Linked DNA regions of Coturnix japonica. The protein of the gene in region 1 interacts with the protein of each later gene in a pairwise test. Links are inferred from orthologs where the notes say so. Each region holds a gene or a part of one and is shown in the gene's direction. Other genes may lie near its edges. The genes, in order: RAB11FIP2 and RAB11B.

Region 1 (3,813 bases):
AGATACTTTCTAAATTAGTAATTTCATAAAATTTATAAGAGATTTTTCCAGGGCTTCTAATTCAGCATCACCTCGAGGCAGGTGGAAGAACTTGTCCTTTGGATGACTTGTCTTCCCCTCCCCAAACCTCTTCAGGAAGGTTGAGAAGTAGTGTTATTTCTTTTCCTTAATGATGCCAACCAATTAAATCATTTAATATTTTTCATGTGTGAGAAGAAGTATAAGAAAAGCTCTCATGTCCTCCAAAAGGAGAAAGAACAGCAATGAGAATATATACAGATGTGTTTAGAGCACTTCTGTGCAACTGGAAAATTGGAAGTGTGCCCTCGTGCCCCTTTTGAAATAGGAAGAAACTACTGATGATGAGTGGGGAGTAGGTCGGTCATTCACTTAGGTAAGGCTGTGGAGGAGGGACTGAGTCTTAATTCTACTGGTGAGTCCAGTAGACAGAAGAGCAAGGTGGGCAAGTAGTCAGACATCTGGTTAACGATAATGTCTTTGTTGAAACTGAGAAAACACATATCTTTTTGAAACAAGTGACCTCATCAGTTGGAGGTTTGGATCATGTTTGCAGAGCCTGTGGAGGTGTGATGAAGTAAATCCTACTGGTTACCTGCAGCAAAGGGCAGTGTCGGATACACTGATGCTGTTCTACCACTGGTGTTTGTGACTGAGGTTGCAGCTGCAAAACCAAAATGATGTTTGAGTGTAAATCATTCCAAGGTTTTGGATATTTCCTTTTTTGTTTGTGTAATAAATATTAGATACAAATTCTTTGTAAGCAGATGCGATCCCCTTAGCTTCAGTGAAGCTTAATATGCTTCCATTGAGTTGACTTGGATTCTTGAATTGAACAGAGCAGAGAGTTTCCTGCTTTCTAGTTATTGCATGTATCCTCTTTCAAAACCAAGTGTGGACCAAAAAGTTTTTCAATATTGGGAATATTTTGATTTTCAGTATGGAATTTGGCTTTCATATTTTTAATTATATAGCAAGACTTTAATCGACTAACTAGATTTTAATTGCAGGCCTCCAAAGAAAACAACTTAACTTGCTCTTTTTCTCATTTAAGGTGGTTTCCCCTAGAGTCCAGACAAGGAAAAAGAACCAAAGACAGAGGAGAAATAAAGGTCAATATTCAGTTTATGAGGAATAACATGACAGCAAGTATGTTCGATTTGTCAATGAAGGACAAAACCAAATCCCCTTTTGCTAAACTGAAAGACAAAATGAAGGGTCGAAAAAATGATGGGACATTTTCAGATACATCATCTGCAATCATTCCAAGTACTCACATACCTGATGCAAACGTAGAGGTGTGTAGTGGTGAAGTACAAATGAAATCAAAACCAAAAAAACCTTTCCTTTTGGGACCCCAGAGGCTATCTTCAGCTCATTCGATGTCAGATTTAACAGGATCACACGTCTCCTCAGAAAAATTAAAAGCCAGCACAGGTGGCTACTCTCATCTTTTCAAGCGTCAGCTAGAATCTTTTGGTTCAGTTGATGAAGGAGGTAAGTGAACTCTATCATGAACGTTACAATTATAATTCCCCACTTCTAGAGCATACAGAAGTCTGTTTCTTTATGAAGCAGTTATAAGGCCAAAAAATAATGAATTATTGCTGGCCTATTTTGTCTCTTCCACTAGTTGGAAGTAACATAAATGCCATTAAGAGAGTAAGAAATAACTTACATTGATCATAATGTATTATATTTTTTATTTTTCCTCATGTCCTCATTTGGGGAGTGTGTTGTAATGAAACATTGCATTCAAGCCGAATTCAAGGCAAAGTGATATAGTGTGAAGAATGTCTTTTTAAAAAGTTAAGAACTATCACCGAAGTTTTAAACCTAATTTATACAAATGAGTGAAAGTGCTTTGCATCACTCAAAGTTTTTAGGCAATAGATTACTGTCACTTTCTGGAATGCCACACTAGCTACAGCTGTATTCCTTCTAGAACTTAGTTCTTATGCAGAAAATTAAAAAGAAAAAAAGGCTGTAGTTTATTCTTTAAACACATCAATATCATGAAGACAATGCCAGAGCTGTTGATATTTTAAATGTAGATTTGTTAGTCAAGGGTGCTTCAGGCTAAAACTCGCTTTCAGACCTTCCATACCAAAGCTAAAATGGTTTCTCTGTGTGTTATAAGCTATGCTGTAGCATCTCATTGATAATGTACTAATGGCAGATTGTTTGCAGGGAGTGTAAAATCTCCGCATAGGAGGACATTAAGTATTGATACTTCTAAAATGAACCAATTGGACAGCACAGCTGATGAAACTGCGCTGGAAGCACAAAATGACCCATTTACCAACGTGAGTGCTTCATTACCCCAAAAATTCGCTACACTGCCAAGACAGAAGAATCCATTTGAAGAAAGCCCAGCAACGTGGGATCAAAACATAAGTCTGTTTTCCAAACCTGTTGAAATCAAAAAGGAAATTAGAAAAGAGAAAAAAGAGAAAGTTAGTCTTTTTGAAAGAGTGACTGGCAAAAAAGATAGCAGGAGGTCAGATAAACTTAGCAATGGGGGATCAGAGAGCTCCACTGACTTGAAATCACCGAGTGCGTTTGGTGAAACTCATCAGGAGAGTTTTGATTATGAGTCAACTAATCCGTTCATGACAAGCTTCAAGCCTACAAGCATCTTGCCATCTTCAAGGTAGGTTTTGGCTGCATTTTGATTTGCTATCTTGAACATGTTATATAAATCAAAGTCTGAAGAGTTGAGGGGTGTAGTCTTTGTTTTCCAAACTATCAATAAGAATTTAACGATTTTTGTTGTTGCTAAGTAACATTTATGAACCTTTAATGTAATTTAACCTTTTCATTCTATATTTTATTTAGAAGTTACATTTATATTAGTAAATGTATTATTACTGTGACTCTTGGGTTTGCATATGCGGAAAACCTTGTGTAATAGCTAGCAATGAACTACCTTCAGTCCAAGGCAAGGTTTTAAAGGGTGAAGTTTTAATTGTTAGAGTATGATGGAACAGAATAAATGAAAGGTTTGAGCAATGAAAGCAAATGCTTTGGAAAGAATGGGCGTAGATTCTATATATTGAAGCACAAGAACTAGAGACCATTCTGTTTCTAAATGAGAGCATCTGCCTGGCCCTTATCCTGCCTGGAATCATTTGCCTCACTGTAGCTTTCCTGAGTTCATGTGTATTCAAGGCTATATACCAGGCAGCAGTTTATATGCTAAACAAAATGACTTGAGTTACAGGAGTTAATAAGAAACTTTGATTAAAATTATTTATTTTAATCTTTGTTTGCTTATCAACAATTTACATGTTTTCCTTAAATTAACATATATATATATGTGTATATATATATATATATATATATATACACTTCTGTTTAAATCTTCAAATCACTTTCTCAACAAAACTAATCTTGGTTGTGGATTTAGTAAACTGAAATGGACCAACTGTAGAAAAGATTAGTTGTCTACAAGCTCGTACAGACTTCAGTGACTCATCTTCTTATTGCCTCCTACAAGTCAAGCCAATTCTACTGTCTTAAATAAAGTATTTTCAGCCAGAGTCTGAGAATATTATTTATTTAATAAAGGATTTCTCTAGATTAAAGTGAGGTTAGGATGTAGCTTGCTTTGTCAGAAGTTAAACTTTCATTTAAATAATCTCCTTTAAGCAGAACTAATTTAAATAACAATTAAAATTACATAGCATTTAATATTTTTTTAAAATGAAAAAATGTGTTCGGGCAGATGCTAGATATCAGTAGTGAAATCTTTTGAAGTTCTTGAATGCAACAGATCTTGATAAATATAAATCT
Region 2 (4,585 bases), on another chromosome or scaffold:
GGAAGATGGGCTGTGATTGGTGTTTATATTACAAATGGAATCTGAGATTGTGCAGATGTACGCCTGCCTTGTGGGGGTGAAAAGGATAAAAGCGGCCATGGGGGGAAGAATAAGAGCTTTCTTTTATGTTTGTGGAAAATCAGAGCGCGCCAATCAGAGCTGAAGCCCGATGGGGCGTTTGGTTATTGGAAACAAATGTTTGTCATATTGTTCATCAATATCTGGCAACCTCATGTACTGAATATTTATGATGAGCTGTGCTGGGAAGAGGCTTAATCCTCTTCATTGTGTGAAGGAATAGACTCCTTTTGACAGATAATTAACCGGTCTGTTTAAAATTCCACCATAAACCTGGTCTTGTGTTACCAGATCTGCAGTGCTTTGCAGTTGTTGGATGGGCAGCGTGGTGTGCACTGATGGGCACGGGGCAGAGCTGGAAGCAGGGGGGGCTGAAGGAGCAGCCCTGAATTCTGGCTGTAGGCTGGACATGGCACGTGCCTTGTGCTGCACTGCTCCACCTGATGCTGACTTGTTGGTTCGGGTCATTTCCAAGTGTTCCTTGCCTTTATTAGTGGGATCGAAGGCCGTGGAAGGGGTGTGATTTCATGTATTCTGATGGATGTAGTATGGATTTGGGCTCTTGCTTTTGGTTTGGGGCTTTCTTTTTCCATCTGCATTTGAACAGGCTGTATTGTTGAGTAACCCGTTCCCAAACTGAGGAATTTCCACAGTATCTGATTGCTTTGGTCCAGAAGCTTAAAGGCATCTTCCTGCTCTGTGCCCATAGAGGTACGTGGGTCTCCAGTCTTTGGATCTCCCTGCTAAAAGAGAAAGTCCTGACAGTTGATTGAGAGCAGCAAGAGGCTGATTGTAAGGTAGAGAGAGCACGAACTTGTTGCTGAGTTTGGATCAGGTTGCCTGCCTTTATTACTTCTGCATTCAGTAACATCTCAGAAATGCTCTGCCAGAGCATGGAGCAGCTGAAGGCACTGAAGGTACCTGGATTACAGGGGGTAATTAGCAAAGTGCAGCAGGACCGCCTGAATTCTCTTCCTGCAGCCAATGGATTAATGACCCAGGGTCTTTTTGCAGAGTTCATGCATGAAACTGGTCATCTTCACAGGCCAGAGGACAGACACGAGTACAACCTGGAGAGGCAGCTGTGCTTTCTCGAGCTGTGTGTTCATTAGGAGGGCAGAGCACTGCGTGGAGCTGGCTCCAGCTGTCCTGGGTGGGGAGAAGCGGGGTGGGAGCTGCCAAAGCTGGAGCCTGAAACAATGGCCTGAGCACAAAATAAAGCAAAGCTGAAATAACAGAGGGACCAGCCCAGTTCGTGGCCATGGGAGAATGCTGGTGAGCTAATTCAGAAAGCGTGCAGGGAGAGGTGTTCTCTAATCTGCTGTGCATGGATCGGGAGGGCCTAGAAATCTCTGAGCACTGATGTTTTCCTGTTAGCATGGCAACACCTTGTGCGGAGGCAGAGTTTCAGTCTTCTACTTCTCATCTAATCCACTGGAACTCGTTCTGTTGGGTGAAGTCCTGCTTTGTTTTCTGGCTTGTTTGTAGTATCAGATGTCTTCCTGTGGGGAGCACGGTGATGGCTGGAATAACTGCAGTAAATCCCACAGAAGGCTGGGCATGCAAGGGGCAGCTCGTCGCCCTTGTTACTGTGGGCCCTGCCTGAAGCAGCGCAGCAGCCAGGCAGCACAGTGCTGCTGTGGGGAGTTCATCTGGTAAATGATGTCCTGTCTTTCAGTGGTGCTGATTGGGGACTCCGGAGTGGGGAAGAGCAACCTGCTGTCCCGCTTCACCCGCAATGAGTTCAACCTGGAGAGCAAGAGCACCATCGGGGTGGAGTTTGCTACCAGGAGCATCCAAGTGGATGGGAAGACGATAAAGGCACAGATCTGGGATACTGCAGGGCAGGAGAGATACCGTGCCATTACTTCAGCGTGAGTACCGTGTCTTTCTTTGGGACTATGGCAGATACATCTCCGGGTAAGGACTGAATGAAATGCATTTGGATGGGACAGAATCCTTGTGGCAGGTCTTGCTGTAGATCCAGGTAATCAGGTAACAATATCATGCTATTTGATTAGTATTTGGAATTTGGAACTCATTTCTGGGGGATGGTTATTACACAAAGCATACAGAACTGCAGTACTTGCATCAGCGCAGCTTTCTGAATGGGTTTGTTGGACCTTTCTAAAGGAATGTGCCTTTGTGTTCTCCCAGGTATTACCGTGGTGCTGTGGGGGCCCTTCTTGTCTATGACATTGCCAAACATCTCACCTATGAGAACGTGGAGCGCTGGCTGAAGGAGCTGAGGGATCACGCAGACAACAACATCGTCATCATGCTGGTGGGCAATAAGAGCGACCTGCGCCACCTGAGGGCTGTGCCCACTGATGAGGCCCGTGCTTTTGCAGGTCGGTATGTGGGGCCTTCAGGTGCTTCTCAAGTTCAGTGTGCTGGTCACTCTACTGTCCAGTATTTAACTTTTGCCTTGTGCTTATTATTATGTGGGAAAAAAAAGGGGAATTGGAGGTTTCGTAGCTGGCTTGTTAAATAGTGGATGGTGTTTTTTCTTGTTGAATCTGTTGGTAGCACATGTTTGTAAAACAGCATCCTTGAGCTGCCCGATACCTGAAGCATAAACAGTTCCTCTGGGAAGGCTGAAAAACAGCAGGAAATGTTCAGAGGAGAAAATACCTCATATAGTGTCAAATATCACAATGCAGAGTGTCTGTCCTTCATTCCTAGAGGCCTGGTTCTATGGAGAGCATAGAGTTCCTAACTGAACCACTTGTTATTTATTACAGAAAAAAATAACCTGTCCTTTATTGAAACTTCTGCTCTGGATTCCACAAATGTAGAAGAAGCCTTCAAGAACATCCTTACAGGTATGGTTTGTTATGGGTTCTGTGGACCTACCACATAGTGAATCTTCTTCATGGGCACAGTTTGCAGTTATTGAGACTGTTTTGGAAATGAGTGTTGGGAATGATTATATGTCTGCAGTCTGCCTCCCCTTACCTCTGTTTTACCCCCACCCCATGCACCTTTTTCCCCACCCACACGCATGGGGAACTTTCTCTTTCCTTGAGAGTGATGTGGGCCCATTACCTGAGTTTTATGGTTCAATAGCTGAATTCTGGGAGGATAAACTATTTCTGTATTCTCACCCTCATGCACTGTTCTGTGGAGCTGTGCCTGATGTACACGTCCCACCACGTCTCCAGAAGGGCATTTCCTGAGCATTTTTTGTTTTTTGGTGACAAGATGCTGATTTAACTTAAATGAGAATGAGCCTTTGTTCTGGTACTGCTCGGTTGTCAGGAAGTGTCTGATGTATGCTGCTTGTTGGACGCTGACCAGAGAACTGGTTATTATTGCTGTGCCTTGATTATATGTGAATGAGAGCCTATTACTGGGGAAATGGCTGAGTTTTGACCTGGTGAATTCTTGAAGGCTCTTTCAGGTTTGTTTTGCAGAGTGTGGAGGTAAACAGGCAGGAGCTGTGGTGTCGGTCTGAGCAGCTCTGTGAGCACAGAGGTGTGTTACAGTTAAAGATGACCAAGAGGAGGTGGGCAGGAGGAAAAAAAAGGGTAGTCAAGCTGCTTCTATGAGTAAAAAAGCCTGATGGATGAAGAGTGGGTTACGTTCTGCTCCCCAGCAAGATTTGGGTTGAGCTGCTGGAGAAGTAACTGGAGAATACTGCTGCTGAGACAGAGCTGTAGAGAAGAGCAGCTGCAGCCTGAGCTCTTGTGCAGGGTGGCCTTGAGAGCAGGTGCTGCTTATCTGTGACACTTGGCTGGATCTGAGGTGACTCGTGTGCTGCTCTGAGATGGTATCGGTGGATTTAGTGCCCTGAGCGTGGCTCAGCCATCACCATCCATCCTGTCTTCCCTCGTTGTGTTGTTCTGAGCCTGACTCTGGGTACAGAAAATGGCCAGAGGTTTTTCTAGGAGAGTTCAGTGCTGCCTGTGTAACAGATGGAGCCAGAACTGGAGCTCCATCAAAACAAAAAAACCAAAGAGCCCAAACCCTACAATTCCCCACCATTTAAAACCCTTGTTAAAGGCTTTGGCTGTTCCTGTCCTGCGGCTGTGACTGCTTGAATGTGACCATAATATTTACTGCAGGCTTCCAGGGAGGTGCTTGCCCTTTTCCTGTCTCACAATGGAGGGAAGTTGGAATGAGGTCCTACAGTCAGCGCAATAGAAATATTTCCACTTATTTCTACTGGCGCTGCAGGTGGAATGGTTTCCTTCTGAAAGCTTCTAACCTGGACGCTGCCTTTAACAGCTGGGGTGAATCTGTGCTTTCAGGCATGAGTTATTTGGAGTCAATGAAATGAATTCTGTCGGGGATGGCATTTGCAGATCAATGTGGGGCTGCGTGGAACCTCATTTTTACTGCCACGGATGGGGAAACTGATTTGTAACGGAGAGGAGCGGGTGGTCCTGTACTTCAGTAGGGACGGCTCACCGGGAGCTGAAGGGTGAAACCTTTAGGTCTTCCAGGCAGAGCTGGAAAGCCACCCAGACGTTACACTGCACAGCTGGTTCCCTTTCACAGCTTG

Evidence for each region.
Region 2: the proteins of RAB11FIP2 (region 1) and RAB11B interact in binary tests that used the Homo sapiens proteins (3 or more experiments, as listed by UniProt). The link is inferred for Coturnix japonica from reciprocal best matches to the Homo sapiens genes RAB11FIP2 and RAB11B.

Annotation. Positions count from the first base shown.
Region 1 is NC_029521.1:26,290,743-26,294,555, reverse strand, and holds part of RAB11FIP2 (rab11 family-interacting protein 2), read left to right. Parts: intron 1-1,072; coding exon 1,073-1,515; intron 1,516-2,208; coding exon 2,209-2,671; intron 2,672-3,813. UniProt on the Homo sapiens protein: A Rab11 effector binding preferentially phosphatidylinositol 3,4,5-trisphosphate (PtdInsP3) and phosphatidic acid (PA) and acting in the regulation of the transport of vesicles from the endosomal recycling compartment (ERC) to the plasma membrane.
Region 2 is NC_029543.1:321,965-326,549, reverse strand, and holds the start of RAB11B (ras-related protein Rab-11B), read left to right. Parts: upstream 1-1,722; 5' UTR 1,723-1,737; coding exon 1,738-1,952; intron 1,953-2,235; coding exon 2,236-2,429; intron 2,430-2,822; coding exon 2,823-2,903; intron 2,904-4,585. UniProt on the Homo sapiens protein: The small GTPases Rab are key regulators of intracellular membrane trafficking, from the formation of transport vesicles to their fusion with membranes.